3 linked regions of the Tamandua tetradactyla genome follow. Each later gene encodes a partner of the first gene's protein in a complex. Links are inferred from orthologs where the notes say so. Each region holds a gene or a part of one and is shown in the gene's direction. Other genes may lie near its edges.

Region 1 (10,888 bases):
TTTGTTGTTCATAAAAAAAAAAAAAAGACTTACAATATTGAATGTTTAACTCTGGGCTGAGGAGTTTGGATGTTGGTCTACAGGTAAGGCAGATGGCTTGAGCTGTGCTTTAGATCTGTGTGATCAATCTAGTCACACAGAGGAGATGATTAGAGTACTAGTTAAGAATAGGGAACCAGAGGCCTGTTTAGAGACCACTGTCTGGGTGAGTAGTAATTAAGACCTAAATTAGGGCAATGGTTATGGGACCAGAGAGATTGGCAGAATTTTGCCACATCATTTATTTCAAAATCCCAGATGTGATTTACTCAATTCCTGTCCAATGAGGGAAGGAGACCACATAGTAAAATGGCTATGACTATGGTTTAACTCAGATTAACGTTGCATACTTGACATTAAAAAATTGATGGCTGCTGCTTAAGTGCTTCAGTTCCAAAATGCTATAAGTTACCCTGCAGTGAGCAAAGCAGGAAATGTTAGCATCACCAGTGCTGCAGTTATCATCCTAAAACTGCCTAGCTAATAAAGCACCTTGAGCCTTATTATTTCTACCTAAACTCTGTGAGTATAGGCTTATGATGTGTCTATCATTATGGAATTTAGGATCCTAATCTCTCCAACTACGTTCTTTAAAATAACATTCATTCTTATTGTTGTTATTGTTTTCATTATAAGAGTTTAACATCTTTATTTTAGACAATACAGAAAACTGTAATGAAGAAAATAATATTCACTTTTAAACCTACCACACAGAGATATCAACTATTAAACATTTGGTCCCTCTAGTCTTTTTTAAAAAATTAAGTTTATTATGTTTATTCCATTTAGAACTATTCTATTCCTGTAACAATAAAAAATGGGCATTTCCTCTATTTTAAAATATTTTTCTACAAGAGCAAATGAATATAAAATTTTATTGGAACACTGCCATGCCTATTTCTTTATGTATTGTTTAATGGCTGCTTTTGTACTACAATAGCAGAGGTGAGTAGATGTGATAGAGGAGGTATAGCCTGCAAAACAGAAAATATTTTCAATTTGACCCTTTAAAGGAAAAGTTTGCCATGTGTTTTAAAAATTATTTTTAGTGACTACATACAATGATATTAAATGTCTGTTCCATTTGCTAGTGCATGATCCAGTGGTTAAAATCACAGACTCTGGAGTAAGATTGCCTGGGTTCATATCCAAGCTCCACCATCTAAAAGTAGGAGAATCTCAGAGAACTTACTTACTCTTTCTGTGTCTCCGTTTTTCATCTGTAAAATGTGGAAATAATAGTATATTCCTCATGAAGTTGTGATGACGATGTGTTGGACTATGTAATACACATCCCAGATTCCTCTTCAGTAATAAATAATGTATTCCTTCAGCTGCCGGGAATGCTGCCAGCAGATAGCCCTCAGCTGTCAATTCTCTTTGGGGAATGCTGCCTCATTCAAAGTCATACCTTCTTCAAAGGGCAGCTCAAATCCAATAGCACATCTACATCAATGAGGTAATATAAAGGCCTGGGTTTATTGCCCCAACTCGGGACAACTCTGAAGTCAGTCCAGTTCCAGAGCTTCCAGTGGATTGGTTGAGGCCTGTGCTGGTTTAAAAGGATGTATGCCCCATAGAAAAGCCATGTTTTAATCAAAATCCCATTTCATAAAGGTAGAATAATCCCTATTCAACACTGGATGTTTGAAACTATAATCAGATCATCTCCCTGGATGATGTGATTTAGTCAAGAGTGGTTGTTAAGCTCGATTAGGTGACAACATGTCTCCACCCATTTGGGTGGGTCTTGATTGGTTTATTGGAATCCTATAAAAGAGGAAACGTTTTGGAGAATGGGAGATTCAGAGAGAGCCAGAGAAGAATGACATAGCCACGAGAGCCCACAAGCCTGTGACATTTGGAGATGAAGAAGGAAAACGTCTCCCAGGGAGCTTCATGAAACAGGAAGCCAGCAGAGAAAGCTAGCAGATGATGCCTTGCTTGCCATGTGCCCTTCCAGCTGAGAGAGAAACCATGACTGTGTTCACCATGTGCCTTCTCGGATGAGAGAGAGACCCTGAACTTCATTGGCCCTCTTGAACCAAGGTATCTTTCCCTGGATACCTTTGATTGGACATTTCCATAGACTTGTTTTAACTGGGACATTTTCTCAGCCTTAGAACTGTAAAATAGAAACTTCTTAAATTCTCCTTTTTAAAAGCCATGCTTTTTCTGATATATTGCATTCCAGCAACTAGGAAACTAGAATAAGGCCTTTGCTGGAATTTCATCACAGCTCACCTTCTCCCTCTGCCCAATCCTGCTTCTTCTCCTTCCCTTCCATAAAATGTTGATCCCAAGCACACTCCCTAATAAGCATTCTACATCCCAATCTCCATCTTTTAGCCTGGTACCCAGGAAACCCAACCTGAGAGAGTGTTAAATAAGTCTTACACTATAAAATTATCTGGCACATGGCAGATGGTATATAATTATTTGTTAAACAAACAAAAATAATTCAGTGGGAGAAAATAGAATGAAAATACAAGTTCAAGAAGAAAAAAACTGAATAATGTAAACTTTCTGATAATCAAAGAATAGCTTACTCATACATTTTTAAAATGAATGATAGTGGAAATCAACAAATACAATGGTACTTAAATTATTCCTGATACATTTAAAGAGTGGTATAACTATTAATTTAATTTAATTAATTAATTTAAATATTAAAAATTTCATATGTAAACATATTATGACAAATATTAGACGGAATACTAAAAATGTAAGAAAAAGTGCAATTATTTACAAAATTTATTTGGGAATATGCTAGAAAACTTTTGAAGATCACTATTATGGTATCTCAGAATTTCTCGTCCTCGATGTTTGTAAAAATATTACTGCCTTAGCGTCCCAGGACTGCTATTAAAAATAAGTCAATGGGCTGGCTTAAACAAGTATTTATTATTATTTATTTTATTAGTTTTTCAGGCTAGAAGTCCAAAATCGAGATGTCAGCAAGGTCATGATTTCTTCCCAGAGTCTATAGCGTTCTGGGGCTGGTTTGCCACAATCACTAGATTTCCTCAGCTTCCATCTCTGCTTCAGTCACAGGGCAATCTCTCTCTTACTGCATCTGTTCTTCTGGTTTCTGCTGACTTCTGGCTTCTTCCTTTGGCTTTCTCTGACTAACTGCATCTGAATTTCCTCTTTTTATAAGCTTCCAATAATATGGATTAAGGACAACCCCCACCCCAACCCAATTCAATTTGGCCACAATTTAATAATAATATCCTCAAAAGTTCCTTTTTACAGTGGAACACCCTTAGGAACACAGATTAAGATTAAGAATATGTGTTTTACTGGGGTACATAATTTCATCTACCACAATTACCATGTAACATATTTACAGGGCTTTGATTTTGGTTTGATGCCTACTCAGACTCCACCTAAGAAAAAAACTTGCTCTCAGGTTTAGACTGATTTTGCGTATGTGGAAGTAAAGGTAGCTGGGATTAGTCAACCACAGACTTCACAGAACGTCCCAGTAACTGCAGTTCTTCAACTACTATCCTTTACTGGTTTAAAACTACAACAACCCCCCCTACTCCATAAAATAAATGAAGGGGCTTAAAAAGGACAACATCTTAAGAACTCAACAGTTTAATAAATAAATAAATAAATAAAACACTGGGGCTTAACTACAGCAACTCTGATATCTATTACAATATATGTGTTTATAAAGGTAACCAATGTAATCTGAGACCTTTCACTCATTAAATAGTTCTCATTTTGGTTCATGTTTTGTTGTTTTGTTCTGCCATTTCCTAGACAGCAGGAAAAAGAAAAGGAAGTAGATGGTAAACAGCTTCCTTTTTAAGGGATATGATACAGAAATTCTCACAACTTATTGTTCACAACTTTTTGACAGAGTCATGTTTAGCCAGATGGGAGGCCAAGAAAAGTAGCTTCTAGCTGGGTCACCAAGTGCCCTGCCTAAACCTGGAGGTAAAGGAAAAGAATGGAAACTGGGGATGTAGAGTATATATTCCAGAAGGAGATGACAGGTAAATGCAAGTAAAAAGGTGAATATGTATGTGAAATTGTGATGAATGCTTTTCAGAAAATTAAGGGAGAGGGACAGAGGAGTTAACTTATATATAATCAGTGACAACTAAACAGATTTAAATGAAGTGAGAGTGTGAGTCATGCAGATTTCTAGTGGAAGAGCATTCCAGTAGAGGGAGCAGCTAGTGCAGAAGCCCTGAGACAAGAGTACACTTGCCATGCTCAAGAAATAGTAGTCATAGGGACAGAAGGAGAACAAAGGAGAATGGTGACAGAGAAGTAAGTGTAGAAAATATTTCAAGAGAGAAGTGGTCAAGAGTGTCAAAACCTACAAGGGTGAAACCTTGGCCAATGGAATTGATAGTGTGGAAGACATTGGTGACTTTGACAAGGGCAGTTTTGTGGAGCAGTGTAAATGAAAGCTTGAGGAGAGTGAGTTCAAGAGAGATAGGAAGTGGCATTAAAGAGAAGAAGTCTGATCTCCTTTGAGGAGAAAAATGGGAGTGACTTGAAAATGTTTATATTTTAAAGGGAAAGAACCAGTAGAAATGAAGAGATTGAAGACACATAGAAGAGGAGAAAATTGATGGCTAAAGGTCTCAGAAGAGCAGAAATATATGGGGTTCCTACTCTTCCTCGGTCAGCTAGAAGAAGGTAAGAATGGGAGTGAATGAAGATGTTGGAGGAGGGAAAGAGGAAGCAGTATGGGGCTGTGGGAATTCCTATCTAATCGTCAATTTTATTTGTGAAGTAGAAGGCAAAGTCATCTGAGTTTGACGGTAAAGGTTTTGCTCAGGCATGTATGTAGGAGGAGTGGGTAAGGAGGAGTCTTGTATTGATCTGAGTCTTGTATTGTGTGGAGGTTTGGGGCCAGGGCCAAACTATTGAGAGGATTGGCAAGAAAGTGTTGGAGGTGATAACTCCTATGATATTTCCCTTCAATACAGCACCTTCTTCTGCCCTCGCTCCTCCAATGGCAGCAGTGAAAAGGAACCTCAGACCTCCACAGGCAATACTCTCCCCTAATTCATCATTTCTCACCAAAACCATCTGCCTTGAAGATCATCAGAACTAAGTTCATTATGTGTTTACATCAATCACCAAGATGAGCCAAAGGCCATCCACTGTTAAGTATGAACAAACAGGTAAAAATTGTAGACATCTGAAGAAAACCTCTGTGTTGGTCTTGTAACACCTATGGATGCACCAGTATCTGTTAACCAGAACCTGGTCACCATTCAGGACTCCTTTTTTTCCCTCAGTTACTCAGTCATCAAGCCTTTGTTCATTCTGCTTTCTAAATATTTAATTCTCTTCATCCCAGCTAGTTTGGGCCACCATCATTTCTCATTTGCATACTTATCCTTTCCCTCTCCTTGTCGGCTATAACCCCATTCCCATCCAAACTGATTAAATCATACTTGCTTGGTTTAAAACCTTTAATAGCTCCACCACTGCCCTCAGGAAAAAGTCCATCTAAACTCCCTAAACTAGTTTCCAAACATCTTCCTGATGCAGCATCTTAATTTTTCTCCATTTCACCACTTCCGCTACTCACTCTAACCTCAGAACATTCTGTCCTGCTTCTCAATTGCTATATCTTCAGGCTCAGCACTTGCTCTTCCTCCTGCTAAAAAACTCTTCTCTCCATCTCCCTCTGCCCTCGTCCTTTCCTGGCTGATCCCATATTTACCCTTCATTTCTTTGCCTAGTGGTGCCTCGAGGAAGCTTTCCTGAATCCCCAACACTGAGGGGCGCTCTTCCGGTGCAGCATTGTGCCAGCCCTATTCAGGCGCCACTCAAATAGTCAGTTTTCTGCAGGGACCATGTCTATTTTTGTTCACTCCAGTACCCCTAGCATTTCCTAACAGTACAGAACAGACGCCCAAGACACGCTAGTGGAATGAATGAACGAGTTGACCAAGTGTTGAATCAAATACCTTGGACTTTCAACTACATCGCCCACAATAAATTTCTAATAAAAACTAAAATTTGTTGAACGTGCTTAAGTGTGTGAGTTGATTTTGAAATCGATAAAAAGGGGCTCTGGGGTGCAATCCAAGTCCAAGACTCCCAGTTTCCACCGGCGGGCTCTACGGGCGGGACAGGGCCTGCAGGGAAGGCAGGGGCGCTCGGCCAGAAGGCGGGGCCTCCCAGGCAGCGGCTCCGCCCCGCCTAAGGGCGGGGCGATTCCCTGGGCGAGGGTGGGGCGGGACTCGTGCGTCGAGAACCCACCTTCCGAGGCCCAGGCGTGGTTGGCGCGGCCTCGAGATGCGGCTTTGGTCTCGTGAACCCTGGCCGTGTGGCCCCGGTTACTAGCCGCGCCGCCGCCATCTTGCCCGCGTGCCGGCTCCCGCGGCGGGAGGGGCGGCGACCAGCCCGGAAGTGGCTGTGCAGCGGCCCCGCTGCCACCTCAGGTCAGTGAGTGCGGCCCGGGCCACTTGTCCGCGCTTCCAGCGGTGAGGCCGGGGGCGAAGGCTCGGGAGCTCCGGCCGCCGTGACGGGCTTGGATAAACCCATTTGAACGGTGCGGGCGCTTGAGCTCCGGGGATTTGCGTTCCCCTCTGCGGGATAACCACGCTGGGCCTCAGGGGGCCGGGGGCTGCGAGCGGCCAGAGGGCGCGCGGGGACCTCCTCGGGGGCGCGGCGGGCTGCACTTCAGCCTGCGCCTCGGCGGGTTTGTTCAGAACCGCGTCGCCGCCTTTGACTAGAGACTGAGCCAGGTGTCTGGAGCGTGGGAGTCTCCTCAGAGTGTTGGTTTACCCGGAATATTAACAAGCCCTGCTCCAGTGTACACTATTAAATACTTCTTAAAGGGCCTACCACCCGGGCATTTAGCTCTGATCTCTTCAAATACGAGTAATTAAAATTTCTTAAGATGACGAGTAAAGCCAGTCGCGTATGCCATGGGCATTGCTACATTTCTTAACAAATGACTGCAGTTGCAGGCCTTTTGTATAATTACATTTTAAGGGAAAATTTGAATTTGTATAGTGCAGATCCATGAAGCTGGTGGGGGTGGGAATTTGAAACTTGCTGTTGTAATATGCCGTGGTAAGAAAGAAAGAAGAAAAAAAGGATGTGAAAGGTTGATTGGCTAACTTTGTTCGCTTAGTATTATAGATCGTCACTGTCCAATTAGCCACGTGGGGCTGAGAGAGTTTGCAGTGTAAAATACACATTGGATTTCCAAGTCTTGGTACAAAAAAAATAGAAATTCTCAATAATGTTTATGTTGATTAAATGCTGAAAGGATAATATGTTTTATATATTGGGTTAAATAAAATATATGTTTTAAATGAATTGTATCTATTTTTGCTTTATTTGATGTGGCTGCTAGCAAGTTTTAAATTATACGACTCTCACTGTTTTAGTTGCACAATGCTGTAGTAGATGTTCTGATGATGACCATGGAATCGGCATGGCTTTCTTTTGCTCAGAAACTGTTGATGGGAAGTGAACACTCGTTAAACTTTGAAGGTGAAAGTATAAAAATATAAGCCCTATTTTAGGTGAACTCCACTTCCTCAACCTCCAAGTTTTCAATGTCTTTAAAATTTGAACACATTAACTTCTGTGATAACATCTGTGTGATGTGAAGAGCTCATTTCATTGTTGTGACTACTTAAAAATGTAAGTAGGAAAGGTTGATTCTATCAGTTCGTGTCTTGGAATTTAGGGGTCTTGTCAAAGTTTTAGTTTCAGAGTAACTAGAGGTCTTCTCATTACAGGTTCAATTTTCTTTGTTCTACACTGAATTCCTAGCTGTCTTCATTCATGAATGAAGATTCATCTATGTTGTGTGTTGGATTGTGAAGAAATGCCTGTGTTAAGAGGGTCATTATAGAAGCACTTCTTTATACCATGTCAGCTTCGTGGTGCGCAACCTGGACAGCCTCATAGGGTTCCACCCTTAGAAGGGAATCGTGCTTGATTTAATGCTCTGCTTTTGGCATGTTGAAATACTTAATAGTCTTCCAGCAAGGGGTCCCTGCATTTTCATTTTTACTGGGCTTGGCACATTATATAGCTGATTCTGTCTCTGATGTGTAAGAGCCAAAATATGCTGGTCTTCACCCTATTCCTACATGAACCGAGGGTGTGCCAATCTCTCCCTCTCAAGTTCTGTTTTGTACAGGTTACTATTATCAAATTTGGTTGATGGTAATATCGTAAGTATATAACGTCAGAAGAAATTCTGGTGATTCTCCATTGAGAGTCATGTAAATTAAATAGTTTTAAAAATTACAGTGACACTTTCTGTTTGTGTTTTGTAAGAGGAGATTTTTCCATGGCATCAAGTTTTCATACCGCATTTTTTTAAACTTTTTTTTTTTAATTGGAGAAGTTGTAGGTTAACAGAAAAATCATACCGAGAGTCTCCATTTAACCCCCCTCATGCACAGTTTTCTCTATTAACATTTTACATTAATGTGGCACCTTTGTTACAGTTGATGAAACAATATTGTAATTATACTATTTACCACAATCTATAGTTCACCTTAGTGTTCACATTAGTGTTCACTGTTTGTGTTATATGGTTTTATGGCTTTTTTTAATTTTTTATTCGGGGAATATATTACAACCCAAAATTTTCCCTTATAACCACGTTCAAAATGTATAATTTAGTGATGTTAAATACATTCACAATATTGTACTACCATCATGACCAAACATTACCAAAATTTTTCCATACTCCCATCCAGAAACGCTTTACTGATTAAGCATGACTTCCCCATTCCCAGCTCCCACCCCGACCCTGGTAACCTGCACTGTAGTTTAAAAATTCCATAAATTTGCTTATTCTAGGTATTTCATTTAAGCTAAATCATATACTATTTGTACATCTGTTTCTAGCTTATTTCACTCGACATGACGTGTTCAAGGTTCGTCCTTGTTATACCATGAACCAGAATTTCATTCCTTTTTACAACTATCTAATGTTCCACTATAATGGATAAACATACCATATTTTGTTTAATCATTCATCTGCTGATGGACACTTGTGTTGCTTCCATCTTTTGGCAATTGTGAATAATGCTGCTTTGAACATCAGTGTGAAAAGATATCTTAGAGTACCTGCATTCAATTCTTGGGGTATATACCTAGAAGTGGAATTGCTGAATCATATGGTATTTCTAAACTTAACTTTCTGAGGATCCACCAGACTATTTTCCACAGCGGCTGCATTATTTTACATTCCTACCAACAATGAATGACTCTTCCTGTTTCTCCACATTCTCTCCAACACTTCTTTTCTGTTGTTGTTTTTTTTTAATAGTAGCCATTCTAGGGGATGGGAAATAGGCAGTTTGTGGTTTTGATTTGCATTTCCCTAATGGCTAATGATAATAAGCATCTTTTCATCTATTTATTGACTATTTATATATCTTTGAAGAAATGTTCAAATCTTTTGCCTGTTTTTAAATTGGGCTGTTTGTCTTCTCATTTTTGTGTTGTAGGATTTCTTTATATATTCTAGATCTTGAATCATTATTAGTTATTTCCACATTTTTTTACCATTATGCAAATTATCTTTCTATTTCCATGATAAACTCCTTTCATGCACAAAAGTTTTAAATTTTGATGGAGTACCGTTTATCTATTTTTTTCCCTTATTGCTTGTGTTTTGGGTATAATATCTAAAAAGCCATTCCCTAACACAATGTTTCCCTGTTTTTCTCTAGTAGTTTTATAGTTTTGGTTCTTTTATTTAAGTCTCTGATCCATTTTAGGTTAATCTTTGTATATGGCATGAGGTAGGGGTCCACCTTCATTCTTTTGTATATGGATATCCAGTTTCCTCAGCACCATTTATGGAAGAGACTATTCTTTGGCCATGAGGTAGACTTAGGGCCCATTTCAAAAATCAGTTGTCCATAGATGAGAGAGTTTATTTTTCTGAACCCTCAATTCTGTTACTCTATATGTCTGTCCTTGTGCCAACACCACACCATTTTGATTATGGTAGCTTTGTAATGAGTTTTAAAGTCGGGAAATGTGAGTCCTCCAAATATGTTCTTTTCCAGGATGGTTTCAGCTGTTTGGGATCTCATACCCTTCCATATAATATAATCACTGGCTTTTCCTTTTTTGCAAAGAAGGCTGTTAGAATTTTAACTGGAATTGAGTTGAATTTGTATATGCTTTGGTAGAATTGACATTTTAATAATATTCTTCCAGTCCATGAACATGGAATATCCTTCTATTTGATTTCTTACAGCAGTGTTTTTTAATTTTCCGTGTAAAAGCCCTTTATGTCCTTAGTTAATTTGTATCCTAGATATTTGATTCATCTAGTTGCTTTTGTAAATGGAAATTTTTCTTAATTTCCTCTTCAGATTGTTCATTATTAGTGTATAGAAACACTACTGCATTTTGTGTATTGGTCTTGTACCCCCATCCCTTTGCCAAATCCTTTTGTTAACTCTACTAGTTTTGTTGTGGATTTTTCAGGACTTTCTACGTATAGGATCATGTCACCTGCAAATAGTGAATGTTTTACTTCTTCCTTTATTTCTTTTTCTTGCGTGGTTGCTCTGACTAGAACTTCTAGTTCAATTTTAAATAATAGTGGAGACGGTAGGCATCTTTGTCTTGCTCCTCATCTTAGGGGAAAGCTTTCCGTTTTTCACCATTAAGTAAGATGGTTAGCTGTGGGCTTTTCATATGTGCCCTTAATCATGCTTTCTTCTATTATTAGGTTTTTGAGTGTTTTACCAAGAAAGGATGCAGGATTTTGTCACATGCCTTTTTTATGTCAATTGAGATCATGATGTGTTTTTTTCCTTCATTTTATTATTAATGAGGTCAATTACATTAATTGATTTTCTTATGTTTA
Region 2 (9,961 bases), on another chromosome or scaffold:
ATTTACTCCCCACAGTACTAGAACTTGCCTACTGTGGTCCTCTTTGAAAACAGGTGGGGAGAAAGACAGTTAGCAGAGTTGGATGGGTGGAAAGTGTGCAGGAGGGGAGCAGTGTGGCGGGCAAAGGGACCAAAACAAGTCAATTGGGGCAGTGAGAGACTGTGTAAAGAAGCCCCTACTTCTAGCCCCCTCCTCCCCCCAAACGCAGAGCATCCTGCCTGGCCCTGCCCCCTGTTTTCTCTTTAAACCTCTGCCCTCACCTGTTGAATGGGGCCAACCCTGCCTCTGATCACATGAGAATTGGTGTGCTGCTGTGGGACCAACCCCACGGTGACCATGAGCAGGTCACCTTCCCTTTCCAGGGAGGTGCAAATTTTGAGACAGGCCTGGTCTGGTGGAGTACAAGTGAGGGCAGTGAGTGGCAGAGTCACACCTGTCATCCCTCTCCACTTGGTCTCTCCACAGCCAGCAGGACCTGTTCCGTGTGCTGAAGGCCTACACATTGTACCGACCTGAGGAGGGCTACTGTCAGGCCCAAGCACCCATTGCTGCTGTGCTGCTCATGCACATGCCTGCTGAGGTACCACCAGGCCCCTGGGTGGGCAGGCAGGGAGCATCTGACAGCAAGACCTCACCTGTCTCTCTCACCCACAGCAAGCCTTCTGGTGCCTTGTGCAGATCTGTGAGAAGTACCTTCCTGGCTACTACAGCGAGAAACTGGTGAGTGTTTGCCTAGCCAAGGACTTCTACCAGGCTGGATGCTCTCTGGCCCCCTCCAAAGGCCCTTCTCTCCACAGCCACTCCTGTCCCAGGTGAAAATCTTCCCAGCCTTCTGTCACTTTCAGGCTGAAGTCCCAAGGCCTTCCTGGGTCAGGGCTCTGAATCTCCAGCTTCGTCGGCTCCACATTCTCCTCCATCTCTGCCTCCGGCCACTCTGGCCACACAGGCAAGATTGCAGTTCCTCCCGCACACCAAGTTCCTTCCTGCCTCAAGGCCTTGGCATGGGCTGTTTCCTTTGCCTGGAACCTCCTTTTCCCCCTCCTCCATCTCCTTACCCTGACAACTCCACCTTTCCCTCCGCTTCAGTCCTCAGGGAGCTTCCCTTGACCTCTGGCAGGGACCCTCCAGCACATGCTTGCCCAGTAGCATTCCTGGTCCTGCCTTGTTCTGGGCACTTAGCCCCATTCTTCCCCTGCCCTAAGTCTCTTTGCTCATGTGATTCATGTGTGCCTTTCTCATTTCCATGGGGAGCAGAGGTGGTGGTGGTGCTGTTGCAGCTAGATCTAGTTTGCTCATCTTAGCATCCCCAGCATCCAGCAAGAGGTGGGTACTCTGCCAGCAGGTAGTAAAGGCCAGAGGCATGAGAAGTCTCTGCTCTGGCTGCAGTGAGCCCACAGTCATGGCCCTGTGGCCTCTTTGTCCCTCCAGGAGGCCATCCAGCTAGACGGGGAGATCCTTTTCTCACTGCTGCAGAAAGTATCTCCTGTGGCCCACAAGCACCTCAGCCGGCAGAAGATTGACCCACTGCTCTACATGACGGAGTGGTTCATGTGTGCCTTTGCCCGCACCCTACCCTGGAGCTCTGTACTGCGTGTCTGGGACATGTTCTTTTGTGAAGGTACTGGGCTGGGCTGGGGGAAGCACGCCTGTCCTCAGCCCAAGCCACAGTGGGGGGCCTTGGTTTCTGAAGAAACCCTGAGAAGACCCCTTGTGCTCATCCACCCACCCATCCTGCAGGAGTCAAGATTATCTTCCGGGTAGGGCTGGTGCTGCTGAAGCATGCGCTGGGCTCTCCTGAGAAGCTAAAAGCCTGCCAGGGCCAGTATGAGACGATCGAGCAGCTGCGGAGCCTCAGCCCCAAGATCATGCAGGAGGCCTTCCTGGTTCAGGAGGTGCGGCCCCCACCTTCCCCTTATAACTGGGAGGGAGGATGGATCCTTTGGGGAGCATGGCAACCCTCTGCCCCTGAGGGCAGGTCACCCATGCTGGGCATGGTGCTTAGCAACCCCAGGACAGGAGGTAGACCTTCTTAACATTCTCATTCTGTCTGCATGAGGAGAGGGGCACACAGAAGCCTAGGTGTGGGACCTTCCTGACCAAGGAAGTGGTTGTCTTGTTATTCTGAATCAATTGGGAATGTAGAAGAGGAAGCTGTGGCCTGTCATCTTCCCTCTTCCTCCCTGGTACCATATTCATGGCATTGGCTGTTTTTTTTTTTTTTTCCTTGTGGAGTTTTGTCCTATAGGGGTTGCAGTGAGATAGGTAACAGCTGTGTGGGGCAGAGACAGAAAAGCAGCTTTGTACTTTTGCACTCACTGTTCCCAACAGCTGGTGAGAGCTGTGGCATTATTAGGGGCAGGACCACAAAGTGATTCCCCCAAAGTCATCCAGCTAGAGGTAGTAGAGCTGAAATTAGAGACTAGGTAGGGGCTCATGTGAGCAGTGAAGAGGACATTTTGGCCAAGAGCAAATGTGCTCTGGCTGATCACTTACCTTACTGGCTCCCATGGATTCAGACAAGTGGAATCACAGGTTGGGCAGCTTTCTCTTCTGAGGCAGTGGGTCTTAAGTACCTGTTCACCTGGCACTCAGTTCTCGGACTTGTGACAACCACAGGGACCAGACTCCATTCTGCCTGGGTCAGCTTTCATGGCCGGGGCTAGGAATGCAGAGGGAGAGCCCAGGCCCAGGCAAGGAGGCAGAAGGGAAGATTTTGCTCCCTGGTGACAACCTGCCTGTCACTGCCCCACAGGTGGTGGAGTTACCTGTGACCGAGCGCCAGATTGAGCGGGAGCATCTCATCCAGCTGAGGCGCTGGCAGGAGACACGTGGTGAGCTGCAGAGCCACTCCCTGCCCAGACTGCATGGTGCCAAGGCCATCCTGGAGGCAGAGCCGGGCCCCCGGCCAGCCCTGCAGCCCTCACCATCCATTCGCCTGCCCCTGGATGCCCCCCTCCCCAGCTCCAAAACCAAGTCCAAGCCTCTCAAGCAGGTCCAGAAGGAGCAGCAGAAGCAATCGAAGGCAAGTGGGCAGCTGGACAAGCCTCCGGCCCCAAGTAAAACCGAGGTGGCAGCTGCTGCAGGGGATGCATGCCCCCCACAGGACTTGGCCCACCACCACTCCCAGGAGAGCCTGACGTCCCAGGAGAGTGAAGACACCTACTTGTAACACTGCAGTCCGCCCTCCGGGGTGGGGTCTCCTCACATCTACATGGCTCATGGACTGACACTCCAGGGACTGCCCACCCTTGGAGGCACAACCACTTGGCCGCTGGGCCGCTTGGAATCTGGCTGGCCCAGTACATATTCTGCCTGAGCCTTCTTATTTATTTTCTCTAGAGTAGAGCTCAGGCTGAAACAGCCAGGGCAGACGTAAGTGAGAGCTAAGTGGATGGGGCCTTATTCAGCCCTCTCCTCTTGAGGGGAGAAGGTAGGCTGAAGGGTAGGGTGCTCTTTGTGTAAAATAGGAACATGGTTTTGTACAGAAATAAATAGGCTTGTGTAGAGTGCTGGTGTACAGCTAGGAACTAGGAGGGGATAACCACCTGGTGCCCAGAATCTCCGGTCCACAACCTACAGAGCCCCCTTCCAGCCCAGTACCAGGTGCCCCTCCGAGGGGCACTTATGCCACAGGGGTTGCCAAGTCTAGGGCTAGCCCCTGTTCTTGGGCCCCATTTCCCCCATCCCATTTCCTTGGCCCATGCCCATCAGCTGCCATGGAAGAAGGGCACAGGCGCTGGAACCCAGGCTGGGGCAGAGCAAGGCCAGTATCCCAGCCATGGTCCTTTCCCATCACCAAGAGAGAGGAGTCTCCTTAAGGAGGCAGCTTCAGGGTCCTTCTCCAAGGCCCAGTCTGGGCATCATTTCAGGCTCCAGTGAAGTTCTGAGTACTCACTCAGGCACTGGTGTCAGGATTGGAGTCCCTGAATGTCCTCATGTGCTCAGGCCAGGCCTCCATCGAGGCAGGGGACTGAGGAGAGAAGTCTGAGTCCTTGTTGAGAAGTCTGGGTCCTCTAGTTGACTGAGCACCCACCATGTGCCAAGCTGGGCATGTTGGGCCACAGACCTGAATGGTTTATCCTCACTGCAGCCTTTCCAGGTAAGCTAGTATTATCCCCATGTTACAGATTAGGAAGCAGGATCTGAGTGGAAAAGGAACCTTCCCCCCAAGGAGGGAAGCAGGGCCAGATTTGCCCCCAGAGCCCCTCCATTGCCTCTCTTGACCAGGGTCACAAGGTAACCTATCTCTGCCACTGGCCCAAGCAGACTCTACGGTCACAGCCTGACAGCTGGCTAGGGTGAGGGCAAGGACAGAGTGTCCCTGGGAGAGGTCTCCCTTCTGCTGAGGAAGCAGCTTTCCCAGTCAAACAATAGCGACTGTTCCTGGCTGTTGACCAGACTGAGCCTAGTGGTGGGGAAGGAGGGAGGGAGCAGGAGAGGGAGGGGTAGGGCCTCCCTGTGAGCTTTCAGGCATCAGAGGGCCCTGGGTGTGGAACATGTTGTCCTGTTACAGCTGGGGATACTGAGGCTTAGGGAGGTCAAGGGTCACACAGGTCTATTGGGCAGACCACCCACTTCCTCCTTCCCACCCATTTTCCCTGTGGTTTCCTACCCCATCTGCACCTGCCGTTGATGAGATTGGGGTTCCCAGTCTTTGAGCAACACCCCTCCTCCCCCAGTCCTCCAGGGGACACAGATCAGGATGTGGTGGCTACACAGCGTTCCGCAGGAACTGCCTGTGCTGGAAAATCTGGGCAGAGAGAGCTTAGCTTTACTTCTATCTGCCTATAATGGTGGCTCCAGATAAGGCAGGAGGCCTGCTCAGGCCTGCTGAGCCTCAGACAGGCCTGCTTTAACCTAATTGGTTCAAAGCTTCTTCAGGACTGATTCTCAAACTGCTCAGATATGAGGCCTGAGGATGCTCAGCCCTGTCCCAAGGCCAGCCGAGGTATGCTGATGCCTGCTCAGCTCTGGGGTCTTCTTAGGTCTGAGGAAGCATGAGCAGAACCCAGTCCTAAGGTTGAAATGAGTTCAGGTTGACCCTAACAAGCCCCAGACTGTGGCATCTGAAGGTCCCCTTTGGTCCTGATGCCAGGTGGGATGTGCTCAGGCCAGTTGAGTTTTGCTGATGAGCACAGGCTTTGGGAGGCCTCAGTAGGGTCCAGATCTCAGTCCTGAGTGCCCAGTGAGTCTAACCCCTTAAGTCTGAGCCTTGGGCATTGTTGGCCAACACTTCTGGATTTCGGTAGTCGTGAGGGCCCTTAGGCCTGGGTCACCTTCCACCCCCTGCTCAGTAGATTGTTGCACAGGGCCCTCCCCTTCTCTACGACCACTGCTGGGGAACATTCTGCTCTGAAAGCTGGATAAGAGGAACAGTTGTAGGGATATCCCAACCAGTCTAGGTTTCTTATCAGCGCGTTCACCAGACTCACAAAGTAGGGAGGGCTATGTATCACTAAGGATCCTCAGCAACCCTTGCTGATGGGACGAAGTGTGTCACCCCCCGCCCCGGCCAGTACTGGCGATCCTACATCCTGCCGACCGATGAGAGGAAGGTGGGAAAAAAGGAGACGCAGACATTTTTTGGAGGGAGGGAGTCGCAGGATTGCTCCGGCTGCACAGCAGATCGCTGTTTCGCCATGTCCCAGGGGGTCGCAGAGCGCTCCGGTCCCAGACGAATCCCGGTTTGCCTCAGTGGGTTCAACCGTAAAACCCATTTTCAGGCTCCAGGGGCACGAAAGACATCAACCTTTGAGGCGCTGCCGTCCCCGGCGAGGCGGGTGTCCAGCGGAAAGGGCGGGGCCTGGAGAGGGGGCGCGGCGGGCAGGGGCGGTGTTTGGAGGGGTGGAGTGAGCCCGGAGCCAAAGCTAAAGGGGCGGAGCCAGCCAAGACCGGGTCCGTCCGGCTGGAAGAAGCCGGGGAAGATGCTGGCGTATGAGGGGGCGTGACCACTCCGGATAGGGCGCCCGTCGAGCGAGGCGTGGCCGTCAGGGGCGGGGCGGGGCGAGTCCGAAGCTCCGCAGGCGGCGTGGATGCTACAGGGCAGCGGCTCCTTTAAACCGTCCCGCCCCGCAGTCCCGCCCCGGCGTCCTGCCCCGGAGCGGCCTGGGTCTGGCTAGGAGCGGGGTCTGCTCGGCGTGGACTGTGATGGAGCTGCACATCCTAGAGCACCGGGTGCGGGTGTTGAGCCTTGCCCGTCCGGGTCTTTGGCTCTACACTCATCCACTCATCAAACTGCTGTTCCTGCCCCACCGCAGCCGGTGCGCGCCCGGGTTCTGGGGCTCAGATCGGGGCGGAGGGGCTTTGCTGTCGCTCCGGGCCAGGGTCGGGAGCCTTAGGACAGACGCGGGGCGGGCGGGAGCAGGCGTGGTGGGAGCCCTCCCTCTCCGGCCGCTATCCGGCCTGGGCCTACCCTCCCCGGGACCGCCGCCTATCCGGCCCCAGGAGGCCCCCCTCCCAGGGCCATTCAAGACGCAAACAGCCTGTGGTGGGCAATGCTTAACCTCGGGGTCAGATGGGGACACCTCTTCTTGGCGACTGCGGGGAGCTTCTTCCAGAAACCTCATATTGGGTCAGGGGACTGTCCTACAGGGCCCAAGGTCCGACGTCCCCAGGGGCTGTTGCCGTGGGCTGGAGCCTCTCCTTCTGGAATGAATGCGAGGGGAGTGAGTGAAGAGGCCGGGGAGGGTGTCCTGAAGGAGGTCGGGAGGCATAAAACAGTGTGCGATCTCAGAGATGGCGCTCACATCCCATTGCCCCGGGAAGGAAACTGAGGCCAGAGCGGGGCGCCCGGCGAGGGCTCTGTTTTAGGCGATTACAGCCAAGTTCACCAGGAGCTGGCCACTCCAGGCTGAAGGCGTCCTTCCTCCCCTCTCCCCTGCTTATCCCCCAACCAGGTGCAAGTTCTTCAGCCTGACAGAGACCCCGGAGGATTACACGCTTATGGTGGACGAAGAGGGCTTCAAAGGTGGGGACTGGGCTGAGAGGGGAAGCCCAGGAAAGGGATCCTGGCACTCTCCTCTCTGCAGGGTTCTCACAGGAGCTGGGGGCTTGAAAGCAGATGGATCTGGATTTAGATTAGTCCTTACCACTCACCAGCTGTGTGCCCTGAGCAAGTCACTTCCCCTCTCTGAGCCTGTTTCCTCTTATGTAAAGTAGATGTAGTTATGTTTTGGACTTTATAATCTGGGCTGTGTGTGAGGGGCATTTAGCAGCCTCAGCCCAGGAGCTGCAGTAGGCCCTCAGTTACAGTTCTGGGCAAGAATCCGGTTCCTGCAGCTGTTATAACCTCCCCCCTGGACTTTTCTCCCTGGTACAGGTCACCCCCTCCCCCGCTGGTCTGGGAACTCCAGGAGACAGGGTTGGGGAAGGAATGCAGGATCAGGCAGCTCCCAGGGCGGGTCCTGGGAGCCTCTTGGCTGTGCTTGGGTGATTAGCAGCCACCCCCAGCCTGGCCCCTGCTCTGGACTGGATGCCAGCCTGGTCCCTCCCAGCACCCTGGAGCTGATGTCTGGTTCCCACTCTTGTCAGCCTGGCCCAACCTCACAGGCCTGGAGTCCACCGGGACCAGCCAACTTAAATTTGACTTATCCCCCACTGCTGGGCTTCAGGCCTTTGTTTCCCTGTCTGTAATGTAGGGAAGCCAGGGTCTGCGGAGGGGCAAGGTCTCTTCCGGGCTAGCCTGACCTGCTGGCGACCCCTGGTGGTGCCAGGTGGTATAAAGCCTCTGTTAACCTACAGGACCCTCTCGTGTGTAGGCACTATTCTCCCATTTCACAGATAAGGAAAATGAGGCACAGAGAGGTTAAATATCTTAATTCCAGGTCTCACAGCAAGTAAATGGTGACGTAGGATTTGAACCCAGGCCCCATCTGAATCTGGAGCTCTCGTTTTAATTGGGAAGTTCTAATCCACTGTGGGCCAGCACCTGAAATGGTTTTCAGTAATAGCATATATGTGGATCTCAAATGCAGAACTTGGGGGGTGGGGAGGGCAGCCCCAGTCTCCAGACCTGCCCTTACCTTGGCAGGGCTCTCCAAGGCACAGACAGGGAAACTGAGACCCTGACCGGGCATGTGCCCCCTGCCTGCAGAGCTGCCCCCCTCTGAATTCCTACAAGTTGCTGAAGCCACATGGCTGGTGCTGAACGTCTCATCTCACAGCAATGCAGCCACGGCGGTGCAGGCTGCTGGGGTCACCAAAATTGCCCGCTCGGTCATCACCCCGCTGGCCGAGCACCATGTCTCCGTGCTAATGCTGTCCACTTACCAGACGGACTTTATCCTGGTGAGTTTCCCACAGGTGCCCAGTAGGGTGGGCAGTGGTGCCCAGGGACCTGCATGATGTGCCGTCTCCTCGTGGCCCAGGTGCGGGAGCAGGACCTGTCCATGGTGATCCACACGCTGGCCCAGGAGTTCAACATTTACCGCGAGGTGGGCGGAGAGCCTGTGCCCATAGCCAGGGACGATTCCAGCAATGGCTTTCCCCGTGCCCAGCATGGTGAGGGCTTGAGGGTCACCCCCTGACACCCAAACCCTGCTGGGGCCCCTTCCCTTGGGCAGGTGGGTCTGTGGGCATGGGGAGACCAGCAGGCGTTGTCCGCTTCACCAGATGGGGAGACTGAGGCTGGGGGAATCCAGGCCTGTGTGCCTGGAGAGCACGACTCCAAGCCAGGCCCCGGCTCCTCCCTGACCGGCCACCAGGGGGCGCCCCAGCCCACAGACATCTGTTGACAGCTGCTGGGTCCCTCCTGAGCAGGGCCCAGCCCCACGGTGCATCCCATCCAGAGCCCGCAGAACCGTTTCTGTGTCCTCACCCTGGATCCCGAGACTCTGCCAGCCATCGCCACTACCCTCATTGACGTCCTCTTCTACTCACACAGGTGGGCCCCCGGCTGCCTTTCCCCCCTCGGTTCTCCAACCACTATTTCCTGTGCTCTGAGCCACCACCTTCCACCCAACCCCTCGGTGCTGTCAATCCATGCCCTATTCTATGTAGCGGTGTTCCAGGAACCAGGGACACCCGAGTGCCCTCACTGACATTTAGGGGAGCCTCTCCTGCTGCAATAGCAGAACCATCCCCTAGCCCGGGCACTGCTTAGGCACCCCCTGTTCCCAGGGTCCTTTGTCTTTGGCAAAGGCAGGGCTCGTTGTCCTTTCCCTGCACCTTGAGGAGGTCAGGGCTGTTGGAAAGGATAACGTAGTAGCCCAGATCCAGAGGGGCCTGCTCAGGGGGACCCAGAGCCAGCCCCTTCCCAGGGCTGGGGATTGGGAAGAGATGGGAGTGGGCTGTGTGCCCAGCAGAGCCCCTGAGCCTCCTGTCCCTCCCCAGTGCCCCAAAGGAGGCAGCCTCTGGCGGCCCCGAACCCAGCTCCATCCCCTTCTTTGCCTTCTCCCTCATTGAGGGTTATATCTCCATCGTCATGGATGCTGAGACGCAGAAAAAGTATGTGACCCCCAACCTTGGGCAGGCCACAGACCCGGGGAGGGAGGGGGCAGGGCGTTACACTCTGAGGTCACCAGGCTGTCCTGCCTCAGGGGCTCCGAGTGGGCTGGGAGGGGCTGGGGTGGGGTGCCCTGCCCACTGCCTGCCTGCCTTCCCTCCCCAGGTTCCCCAGCGACCTCCTGCTGACCAGCTCCTCCGGGGAGCTTTGGAGGATGGTACGCATCGGTGGACAGCCCCTGGGTTTCGGTGAGGGCCACTCCACGCATGTTGGGGGGTTGGGAAGGGCCTGTGGGGAAAGCAAGGTGACTCACGTGTGCCCCTCCGCACCCCTCAGATGAATGCGGGATTGTTGCCCAGATCGCGGGTCCCCTGGCTGCAGCCGACATCTCTGCCTATTACATTAGCACTTTCAACTTTGACCATGCCCTGGTGAGCACCGGGGGCTGGGGAGGTGGGGGCAGGGTGGGGGGAGACACGGGGAGCCATCAGCTGGGCCAGCAGTTCGCACCAGCTCTGG
Region 3 (10,605 bases), on another chromosome or scaffold:
CTTCTGCCCCAATCCTGAAAGGAAACTTGCCCCAGGGGTTCCCTGTCTCTCCTTGGTAGACTGTCTCTTGCAAAGCTCAGGAACAGAGACGCAGAGGGCATCTGTGTGAATCCAGATGGACACAGGACAAGCCAACTTCTAGGAGGGTTAGAAGGAAAACGCCAGGAAAGACACAGAGTCCCAGAGGGCCGAGGCTCATCCTCACAGGCTTAGAGACCCCATTCTGTAGCCATCTTTTCACTCTAGACCGAGCCTCTATCTCCCTTCACAAACCTGTCAAGCCTCACCCTCCACGTCCTCTCGGTTGGGAGAGGATTCTCCATGTGACAGTGCTCTCACATTTCTGCACGTCTTGCAAGCAAGGCACTGGCTTCCCTTTGTTCTGGACCATTCTTTCAAGAATGTTTGCAGAGCCCACAGCCTTGGAAAACAGAAGAGAGTGTCTTTGTCAAAGCAAAGGGTGGGTTTGCCTGCAAGATAGAGCTGGAACACAGTGATGGGCAGGCCACCGCTCACTGCCACATGTCCCGTGAGTTCTGGGTGCCTTTCCTATAGTGCAGCCCAGGGGGTGGGCAGGGGACACCTGTCACAGTGGGGCCCAGGGAAACGGGGTCAGAAAACATGGCTAGCCTGGTCCTACTTTTGTTGGGAGTAATCATGTGGCTTCCGCCTGCACCCAGGAACCTGTGGCCAGCTAGACTGCAAAGGGGGTAGACCTCAGCCCCTCACTGTGGACTCTGGCGTGTGGGACCCAGAGCACATCCCCTGACCTACCGCTCTGCGGAGGCCTCTAGTCCTGGGCACTCCAAATGTATTGAGCCAATCAGCGTTGAATTTTAGAAACTAACAATATACAGATTTCATTTCAAAAGTAACAATATGCTGTCTGTTCTGTCCTAGAGCACCAAATATTAAATTTCAGTTGTCGCTCACACCCAGGAATCTGCACAGTTACAGGGCATTTGAAAGTTTGATGTAAAATGTTGTGATGCCCCCTACTGGCCACTCTCTAGACCTTGCAGATGGTTAGTTAGGCCTGCAGCACCAGCTCTGGCCCCTGGCGTGTTGACACATGCGAGCAGCAGAAAACAAAACAAAACAAAACTTTTCTAAACTTAAAGGGAATTGCATTTTGGCCAGTAAATTAAAAAAAAATTTTTTTTATACATTAAAAAAATTTACAGGAAACACAAACATTCCCAATACGTGATCATTCCATTCTACATATACAATCAGTAATTCACAATATCATCACATAGCTGCAGATTCATCATCATGATCATTTCTTAGAACATTTACATCAATTCAGAAAAAGAAACAAAAAGACAACAGAAAAATAAAACGCAAACAGAAAAAAAAAACCATACACACCATACCCCTTACCCCTCCCTTTCATTGATCACTAGCATTTCCAACTAAATTTATTTTAACATTTGTTCCCCCTATTATTTATTTTTATTCCATATGTTCTACTCATCTGTTGATAAGGTAGATAAAAGGAGCATCAGACACAAGGTTTTCACAATCACACAGTCACACTGTGAAAGCTACACCATTATACAATCATCCTCAAGAAACATGGCTACTGGAACACAGCTCTACATTTTCAGGCAGTTCTCTCCAGCCTCTCCACTACATCTTGAATAACAAGGTGATATCTACTTAATGCATAAGAATAACCTCCAGGATGACCTCTGGACTCTGTTTGGAATCTCTCAGCCATTGACACTGTCTCATTTCACTCTTCCCCCTTTTGCTCAAGAGGATTTCCTCAATCCCTTGATGCTGGGTCTCAGCTCATTCTAGGGTTTTTCTCAATCCCTTGATGCTGAGTCCGAGTTCATTCTCGGATTTCTGTCCCATGCTGCCAGGAAGGTCCACACCCCTGGGAGTCATGTCCCATGTAGACAGGGGGACGGTGGTGAGTTTGCTTGTTGTGTTTGGCCAGTAAATTTTATGCTTCCTAACTGGCTGCCGTAGACAATGTCACCGGACTAGCGTCCTCAGGGCTGGCCCCTGTCCTCTTGTGCACTCTCTGTGGTACAGGCAAATCCACACTACAGCTACAGAAAAGCAACAGCCAAAAGAGGGAAAACTTCCACTTGTGAAAACACATTTTCTAAATAAGTATGGAGCTAAATAGCAAACAAGAACTCAAATGACACACTTCAGAAATGAATAGCAAAGATTGCTATTCATTTCCTCAGAGGAAAATATACAAGTTTGATATTCCTAGGAAATAAGATTGAAAGCAAAACAAAGTAGGAAAACTATAAATATCTGAAGAAAGTACTAGTACCAATAAAGGTAAAATGGACATGAATGAAATAGGAAAGGAAAAACTAGGAGACTTGGTCAGTAGCATCCAACTTATCAATACTAATATAACAAGCAAACCTCTGGGAAAAAAATGAAGAAGTGCAAATAAAAAACACAGTGAGATGTCATGATGCAACCACCAGAATGACTAAAATGAAAAGATGACAAATATCAAATGTTGCTGAGACTGTGAAGACATAGGAGCGATCACACACTGCTAGGATGCTGTAAAGTGGTTCAACCACTCTGGAAAAATTGTTGCCAGTATCTACTAAATATGAATATGTGCATCCTCGATAATCTGGCAATTACTGTCCTAGGCATTATGTCCAAGAAAACAGCACATTTACGCTCACCATAAGACGGGTACCAGAATGTTCACAGCAACACTATTCTTAACAGATGTAGACTGGAACTTAATCTTATGCTCATCAGTAAGTTGATGGGTGAACATTTGCAAAATAGGGATGAATCTCCTAAATACAGAGTGGAAAAAGCCAGGGAAAAAAAGAGCATATACTGTACAATTTCATTTACATAAAGGATAAAACTAGGTGAAACTAATCTATGCTGCTAGAAACCAGGATAGAAGTTATCTTTGGTTCTCTTTGACCAGAAGGAAGCACAAGGAGAGCTTCTGGGTTCATTCTGTGGGAAGCTCTGTGAGCTGTAAACTTATAACATGGGCACTTTTTGGAAAGTATATAATACCTTCAATAAAAAGTTTAAAACATTAAGAAAAAAAAGGAAGACAGAAGCAAAGTAAACAACAAAAAAGCATTACATCAGACATGGAGGGGATTTTTAAAAAATTATAAGAAATTATCATGTATAACTTGATGGTGTATAAATGATTTTTTAAAGAAAAATAAAGATGATCAATATTGACTTGAGAAAAGGTAGAAAATCTGAAGACCAATAACAAAATACATTTGAACTTTAGTTAAAATCAATAACCTCCTTAACAGCAAGGCATGACGCTTATATAATTCTATGGATATAATTTCAAAATGTTCACAGAATAGTAATTCCCATGTCATTTGAACTGTTCCAGAGGAGAGAAAATATGAAAATTTCCTAATCTCTTGTGCCTGGTTAAAATAATACAGAAACCATAAAAGGACAAGAACAGCACGCATGCAAATGTATATGCAAAATATATACCAAAAATATTTTTAAAATATCGAAGCAAAAATTCTAAATATTAGTGAATCACTAGCAGTGTATTAAAACAATAATGGTTTAGCATTCAGAAATTTATTAATGTATTGATAAGAAAAAAGAGATAAACACTAATACCTAATGAAGATTCCTAGCAAGCTTGAAATAGAAATCCAACCTTTTGAAAAGTTATGCCACATTAGAAGCAGTTTCATTAACATCAGGAACAAGAGAAGCATGATTACAACTATTATTCAACCAGACGTTGCTACTGGAATGGAGGAGAAAGAGAGAAATCTTTTCCCCCCTTTCTGTGGTGACATCTCAGCTGCAGCTGTGGTGGCAATGGGTCAGCCTGGCTATCCTGCTTCCTGTGGAAGCAGTGGAATCCTAAGAGTTGCAGGAGCAGCTGCAGAGGATCTAGGATCCTCAGCTGCCCAGAGCTCGTGGGCACCGGCTCCTTCAGCTGTTGCCACTGTTAGATGCCTGCCGCATTAGCTGGACAACTCTGCTGCTGGCTTCCTAGGACAGTGATGAAGATTCCAACATCAGTAATCTCAGAGGTTCAGTGACGGCAGGCCCTGGGTAAAACTATTTTCCCTCTGTTCCAGCCCTAAGAAGTTTCCTGCAGTTACTACACTCTGGATAACCTCACCTGTTCCCTTTTTGCCTACTTAGCCCTTCCAATACATTTGTAACCATTTTCCTGTGTTAAATTTCCTGTTTGAAATAGCTAGAGTACATATCGTTTTCTTGATTGGACAGTGAGGGATACAAAATATCTATGTCATTACTTGCAGCTAATATACTTATTTATCTAAATACCCAAAAGAATAAATGTAGAAGCTAAGAGAACTAAGACTTCTATAAGGGAACAAACACAAAATGAACATATGAGATTTAACAGGTTCCTTATAAGCAAGATAGGAAGACAGAGCCCAGACACATGGCCAGGAAAATTATAAAGTTTTAATAGAGCAAATGAGAAACATGCAAAACTATATTAAGAAAAACTTCAGAACTCTAATGAAGCACACGTCTACCTGAATGAATAAATGAATCATGCCTACAGTGATCTTTACATGCTTGCCCATTAGCAAAGGAATGTTTAAATAAACCACAATTCAGCCTTAATTTGGAATGCATAGGTAAAAGACTGAAAGAATGAATTAGACCCACGTGGAAAGTTCTCCAAGATTTATTGGATACCTTTTTTTTTTACATGGGCAGGTACCAGGTCCTCGGGCATGGCAGGTGAGCATTCTTGCCTGCGGAACTACAGTGGCCCGCCCTATTGGATACTTTTTAAAAAGCAAAAATAGACAAAGTATCAATTTAAAAAAATCCAATGACATTTCAACATTTCTGTGTACTAGTTATCTCATATGCTAGTACTAGGTAGCTATATGCAAAACCACAGAAAAAGTGTGCAAGAGTACACAGTAATAATGGTTATCCTATGCAAGGGAGGATAGATCCTGGGGTGAAAAGGAACTTTAATTTTTACTCTATATACACGTGTGGTTTAACAAATGTCTTACAATAAACATTTAGTCTTATACTATGTAACTCTAAAAAAAGTCTCATAAAGAAAATTCCAGAATGTCTAGATCATCTCCCTGCCTCCCTTTGCAGCTTTCAGTGAAATCCATCAGGGAACAGCTGGGACTAAGTGTTTTGAAAACTTTCTCTCCTGCTGATCTCATCAAGCCTCGAATTCTTGTCATCCCTGGCCATAATCCAAAATACAAGCCCCTTCCGCGGACTCGTTTTCGATTTTTTTTCCCCTGGACTTTCTCTCCCTTGACCCAATCTTCCAATGTTTCCTTTCTTAATTAATGTTACCGTATTCCCTCTGCAATGCCTCTCCCTGAATGAAAAAATCCCCTAAATCTTTAAACTCTTTGTAAAAATGTTCCTCCACTTGTTGGTTCAAGGCTTCCTCTTCTTATGGGGCGTTTTGCTCATTTCCCTTGTTTTTCCGTTGAGGACTCTGGCTCCAGGGTCGAAAGTCCTCCAATTCACTTTGGATCCTGCAAACTGCGTAAGTAATTTGTTTCCACCCCACGAACCCGAATTTCTAAAGATCTCATCTTCTCCTTCTTGGGTCTTACTACCGCCCCCAACCTGCTCTACCCGAGGTTTTAAATTCAAATACACACACACACACACACGTTCTGCTACCGCCCCCAACTTGCACTACCCGAGGTTTTAAATTTAAACACACACACACGTTCTGCACGGGCAGACACCGGGAATCGAACCCGGGTCTCCGGTATAGTAAATTCAAGTATCTCTGCCTACTTCCTACTTCCGACCCTTTCCGCCTTCACGCTCCCTCTCACTACACCTGCTCCTCGACCCTCTTAACCTTCCTGCTTCACGTCTCAGCTGTTAAGGCGGACGCCTCGGCCCGCCTCTTCCAGCACCTCTGCACCCCGTCCTGCTCCAGCAAAGCTTCACTGGGACCGAATCTCCGGGGAATCTTCCTAGCACGTTTCTGGGAGGAAACGCCGAAATGTGGACGGGCATTGACTCAGGGTGGAGGACTATGCACTGTATTTTATCTTTCTCATCTTCCTTAATTTCCAGATCTTCAACAAGGAGCTCTTATTATGTAAAACAAAATAAGACGCGTCCCTGGAAGTCGCAGGAACCTCCGACCACGACTTCTACAGGTCTGATTCAGGGACGCAGACCCGGAAGCTGTAGCAGCGCACGCAAGGCATGCTGGGGCCGAGGGGCGTGCCTAGCCCAGAGCGCAGACGCGGAAGTTCCGGCGGAGTTCCCCGGGCACGCTGGGGCCGAAGGGCGGGGTGTGGCCCAGGCGAAGACGCAGCGACGCCCTACGGCGTTCGCGGGGCATGCCGGGGTGAGGGGCGGGGCGCGGTGGCGCGCAGCAGCACGCGCACTTTGCGCGCGTCTGCGGCGGGAGCGCGCGAGGCGTCGGGACCTCGGCGGGTGGCGCGTCCGCACGCGCTAATGCGCGGGGTCTTTCCTGGGGGGCGCATAGGGCCAGCGCGGTAGGCGCGGGCCCGGCGGGCGCGATGTTCGTGGCTCGCAGCATCGCGGCGGATCACAAAGATCTCATCCATGATGTGTCTTTCGACTTCCACGGGCGGCGGATGGCGACCTGCTCCAGCGACCAGAGCGTCAAGGTGCGCACGGAGGCGATGCCCGAGGAGGGGGCGCTGGGAGCGGGCGTGAGCCCCGGGGTCCGAGCAGGGAGACGTTGGGGCGGCGACTTGTCGCGTGGAGGGCTTCCCGACTCCCTGGCGGGCCTCCGCGCTCGGGACTTGGAGCCCAGGGGAGGCGGATAGACCCTCCCTGGCCTGCGGCCGCCATCTGCCCAACATAGGGCTCCACGGTCGGTCGCATTGCGGGGTCCCGGCTGCCCCGTGGGGCGCGCTCCCTGTGCGCCTGCGCGGATCGGCTGGCTGAGTGGGCGGGGCTGGCGGATTGGGCGGGGCATCCTGGCCACGTGGGTGCTCCCGCCTCCTCCCGGCAGTCCTCCGGCCTCTGAGCCTCGCGCCAGTGTGTAGACAGAGTTACTTGCTAGCGTTAGGGTCGAGTACCTCATAGCGGCGTGTCAGTCTGAGGAGTACCTGGCAGTAGGTGGCCTAATCCACCGAATTTGTTCAATGAGAGGGCTGGGCGAGGGACTTGGAGGAAAGTATTTTCCATGGTTCGAGTTTTAGCTGCGTAATCCTCACTTGGGCAGACAGTTCCCTATTTGTGGTGGGAAAAGGAACTTCATATTTTTCGCGGTGAAAGAAAAATTCGATGTAGTTCTGTACTCTGTAGGAATTGGCATGTTTGTAAAGCACTATTCTGACTTTTTATAATATGCGGATCGTATTTGGGATTTAGGGAATCTGATAGGAGTTATCGGGGTGTGATAGTAAATCTGAAGAAGGAAGCTGGAGTGTGGATTATTTATATTCTCCACTATTCCAAAGGCAGGGTTTTCCTTCTTGCTTTTCACACTGAAGTTTGTTACCAGTGGTCTGAAAGATAAAATTATAGCAATTTTACTTTTTTGAAAAAAGTACCGCCAAATCCATCCAATTACAGCTTTCGAAAGGTTCACAACCATTTTTAAAGATTGTTAATGGATTAACTATGTAGTAGACCTTTTGGGGAAACATTTCTCATATATAATCGTCATAAATTGACCTACATGAATAATCTGCAGATATTAGTTAAATAATGAATTTGTAGTCTATATGACAACTTGGGATCAGTTTTACTGGTTTATAAAGAGATTGCATAAGAATGATGTTTTTCCTTGAAAGAGTTTTTAGGTGGGAATTATATTGAATTGCAGGTGTATATATTTCGGTAGTGTTTCATTACTTTGTGACCTTATGTCCATTTTTTCCAGTGTACTTTTTCTTACCGAAGGGCTCTATTTATTTATCTACACACACACAACACACATTTGTATTAAGTTGTGCAAGTAATATACTTTTTCTTTTTAGGAGGAGAAATTATTTATAGGCTTACTGGTCACTTATCACTCGTTGAGATTTAGTGATTTCTTGGCCTTTTCCTATAATGTTTTTAATAACTGTCATGGTAGTAAATATAGGTAAATGTGTAACTTTTTCATGCAAAAGTATATTTTCCCCCATTATTGCATGATCATTATTCCCAATGGCTCAATTAATGTCTAACTAAATAGGCTGTTATTTTTTCATTATTCACTTATTACCTGATCCTTCAGTAGATCTTTCAGTGGGTAGGTTTTCTTTCTCAGAAAGAATGTTGCAATGAAAATCTACATTAACTTAGCTTTTAAATATTTTGGGTAATTTCCTTAGGCTAGTTCTGGATAAAAATTAGTGACTGTTTTGGGCTTTTGAAAAGAGTTGGCAAATCATCTTTTTTAGGTTGTACCATTTTACACTGCCAGTAAGATTACTGATTTAAAAGCTTCATAGACTGTTGGGCAAAATCATTTTTAATAGGTTAAAGTGGCCCCTTGTTATTGAAATCTATATATTTTTTGTTGTTTGTTAAGTCCAGTGTTCTGCTGTAATATTTATTGTGTATGATGTACATTGTCTGCATTGCATACTAGAGCTTGAGCTGTCTGAGGCTCAGTGCATAGCCCAGTTCCTGACACAGCCGAGGTTCTCAGTAAATATCTCATTGAATGAATGAATGCTTGCATACACGTATTCTTTTGTGAATTTTTTTTTCACATCCTTTTCCTGTGTACTGGTTTCTAGTCTTAATTTGTAGGAATTTTTCTATAAACTATCTGCATTTTATTTTCTTACAGGTCTGGGATAAAAGTGAAAGTGGAGATTGGCATTGTACTGCTAGCTGGAAGGTTAGTATTTATTTCTATGGTGATTGAGGAAAATTGAAATGTTTACTATTTGATAGTATCAATGACTCGCTGTTCTTCCTAGAGAGAATTTATAATTCATTTCCTGAAAAGATGCTATGCATTTTTTTACCTGTTAAAGTAACACAAATGCATTTCATAAAATTGAACAGTAAGAAATTTATAATTCTGTAACATTTCAGTATAGTTTTTCTTAGCACTTCAGCATATTCCTTTGTTCCCTTTTTTCCTGTACACACACATATTTTATTAGAGCATTTGTAGGTGTACAGAGAAATCATGCAGAAAATACAGAGTTCCTTCATACTCTCCTCACACACATGTTTCCCTGTGTTAACACTTTTCCTTAGTGTGTGGATTTCTGTATGGTAACTTATGTACAACGTAAAATTTCCATATTTCTCCCTTTTCAAATGTACAATTCAGTGGTGTTAATTACATTGCCAATTCAGTGGACTTGGCAGCCTTGTCAAAAATAATTTGGTCAAAGATGTGAGGTTCTATTTCTAAACTTTCAATTTGATTTCATTGGTCAATATCCTTGAGCCAGTACGATGCTGTTTTGACCACTGTAGCTTTGTATTGTTTTAAAGTCAGAAAGTGTGAGTCCTCCAACTCGTTCTTTTTCAGGGTGGCATGGGCCATATGGGGCCCCTTATCCTTCCAAGTAAATTTGATAATTGGCCTTTCCACTTCTGCAAAGTAGGCTGTTAGAATTTTGATTGAAATTGTGTTGAATTTGTAAATCATTTTGGGTGGAATTGACCCCTTAATGATATTTAGTTTTCTAGTTCATGAACACAGAATGTCCTTCCACTTAAGTGGAAGTGATTTAGCATTGTTTTGTAGTTTTTTTGTGTGTGTACAAGTTTTTTACATCCTTCGTTAAATTTATTTCTAAATAATTTATTTTAGTTGGTATTGCAACTGGCATTTTTTTCTTGATTTCCTCCTCAGATTGCTCATTACTGACATTTCAAAACACTACTGATTTTTTGTGCTGATTTCCTACCCTGTGATTTTGCTGAATTTATTAGCCCTAGTAGCTTTGATCTAGATTGTTCAGGACTTTTTATATATAGGATCATGCCATCTGCAAATAGTGAAAGTTTTACTTCTTTCTTTCCAATTTGGATGTTTGTTATTTCTTTTTCTTGCCTAAGTGCACTGGCTAGAACTTCCAGTACTGTGGTGACAGTGGGCATCTTTGTCCAGTGTCAGCCCTGCTTCACAGCTGTTCAGTTCCCCCTTTTCATGTAGCTTTTTTGCCTCTGGTAACTTCTGTGTTAGGGATCCCAACCCACAGAGTCAGATGGAGTTAATATTCAAAAATACCTGGTTTTTTCATTTAGGTGTACCAGCAAGTATGGAACAGGCTGAGAGTGCTCACAGCTTGCTGGTAGTTTTCTGTGGGCTGCTCTGGCTTCTCGGGGGCTGCTTCTTACATGTGCCCACATGCTGGTGGCTAGGGCCGCACCTTTGGACCCTCTGGTCTTGGGTCCTGGTGCCTGAATGTGCTTGGGACTCTAAGTCACTGTTGCAACTCGAAGCCTCCAACTTTCGGCACCAGACGTAGTCCACTTTATCAAGTTGGATCTTTCTTTATTAGCGAAATGTTAGGAGAACTTGACTCAAGAAACCCCAGAATTCTAAATATAGAATATCTTCTAAAGGTTAAACATGCTAGAATTTAAGTTTTTAACTGTTAAATTAAATAGCTTGCTCTGATCGAAGCCAGAAAAGTCTGTATTCTGTTTCCTCAGGTAAAA

The links.
Region 2: the proteins of MIOS (region 1) and CASTOR1 are in contact, whole or in part, in a cryo-EM structure (PDB 9LVK), measured with the Homo sapiens proteins. The link is inferred for Tamandua tetradactyla from reciprocal best matches to the Homo sapiens genes MIOS and CASTOR1. Residues at the interface, in NP_001357005.1 of Homo sapiens: Ala83, Asn84, Val109, Pro110, Lys111, His112, Ala113, Arg114, Asp134, Lys135, His136, Arg137, Asn184; in NP_001032755.1 of Homo sapiens: Val94, Ser116, Thr117, Tyr118, Gln119, Thr120, Asp121, Thr188, Tyr236, Leu255, Thr256, Ser257, Ser258, Ala295, Tyr296.
Region 3: the proteins of MIOS (region 1) and SEH1L are in contact, whole or in part, in a cryo-EM structure (PDB 7UHY), measured with the Homo sapiens proteins. The link is inferred for Tamandua tetradactyla from reciprocal best matches to the Homo sapiens genes MIOS and SEH1L. Residues at the interface, in NP_001357005.1 of Homo sapiens: Arg279, Arg316, Ser317, Phe353, Glu354, Arg355, Ile356, Ser357, Leu358, Ala359, Trp360, Pro362, Leu366, Met367, Trp368, Ala369, Cys370, Gly371, Arg372, Leu374, Tyr375, Glu376, Cys377, Thr378, Glu379, Glu380, Glu387, Asp389, Ile390, Ala391; in NP_112493.2 of Homo sapiens: Met1, Phe2, Val3, Ala4, Arg5, Ser6, Ile7, Ala9, His11, Lys12, Asp13, Leu14, Ile15, His16, Asp17, Val18, Phe20, Phe22, His23, Gly24, Arg25, Met27, Trp47, Ser173, Ser174, Ser175, Asn230, Leu231, Gly232, Arg233.

The regions. Positions count from the first base shown.
Region 1 is NC_135327.1:117,442,508-117,453,395, reverse strand, and holds the start of MIOS (GATOR2 complex protein MIOS), read left to right. Parts: upstream 1-6,261; 5' UTR 6,262-6,464; exon of another isoform or gene 6,465-6,574; intron 6,575-10,888. UniProt on the Homo sapiens protein: As a component of the GATOR2 complex, functions as an activator of the amino acid-sensing branch of the mTORC1 signaling pathway. The GATOR2 complex indirectly activates mTORC1 through the inhibition of the GATOR1 subcomplex.
Region 2 is NC_135331.1:32,612,133-32,622,093, forward strand, and holds the start of CASTOR1 (cytosolic arginine sensor for mTORC1 subunit 1), read left to right. Parts: upstream 1-6,025; 5' UTR 6,026-6,147; coding exon 6,148-6,260; intron 6,261-6,896; coding exon 6,897-6,967; intron 6,968-8,029; exon of another isoform or gene 8,030-8,073; coding exon of another isoform or gene 8,074-8,092; coding exon 8,093-8,286; intron 8,287-8,366; coding exon 8,367-8,499; intron 8,500-8,757; coding exon 8,758-8,881; intron 8,882-9,330; coding exon 9,331-9,444; intron 9,445-9,607; coding exon 9,608-9,690; intron 9,691-9,778; coding exon 9,779-9,873; intron 9,874-9,961. Other genes in the region: TBC1D10A (TBC1 domain family member 10A), read left to right, coding at 466-580, 655-720, 1,429-1,618, 1,738-1,892, 2,753-3,169. UniProt on the Homo sapiens protein: Functions as an intracellular arginine sensor within the amino acid-sensing branch of the TORC1 signaling pathway. As a homodimer or a heterodimer with CASTOR2, binds and inhibits the GATOR subcomplex GATOR2 and thereby mTORC1.
Region 3 is NC_135344.1:76,893,525-76,904,129, forward strand, and holds the start of SEH1L (nucleoporin SEH1), read left to right. Parts: upstream 1-6,398; 5' UTR 6,399-6,527; coding exon 6,528-6,638; intron 6,639-8,767; coding exon 8,768-8,818; intron 8,819-10,605. UniProt on the Homo sapiens protein: Component of the Nup107-160 subcomplex of the nuclear pore complex (NPC). The Nup107-160 subcomplex is required for the assembly of a functional NPC.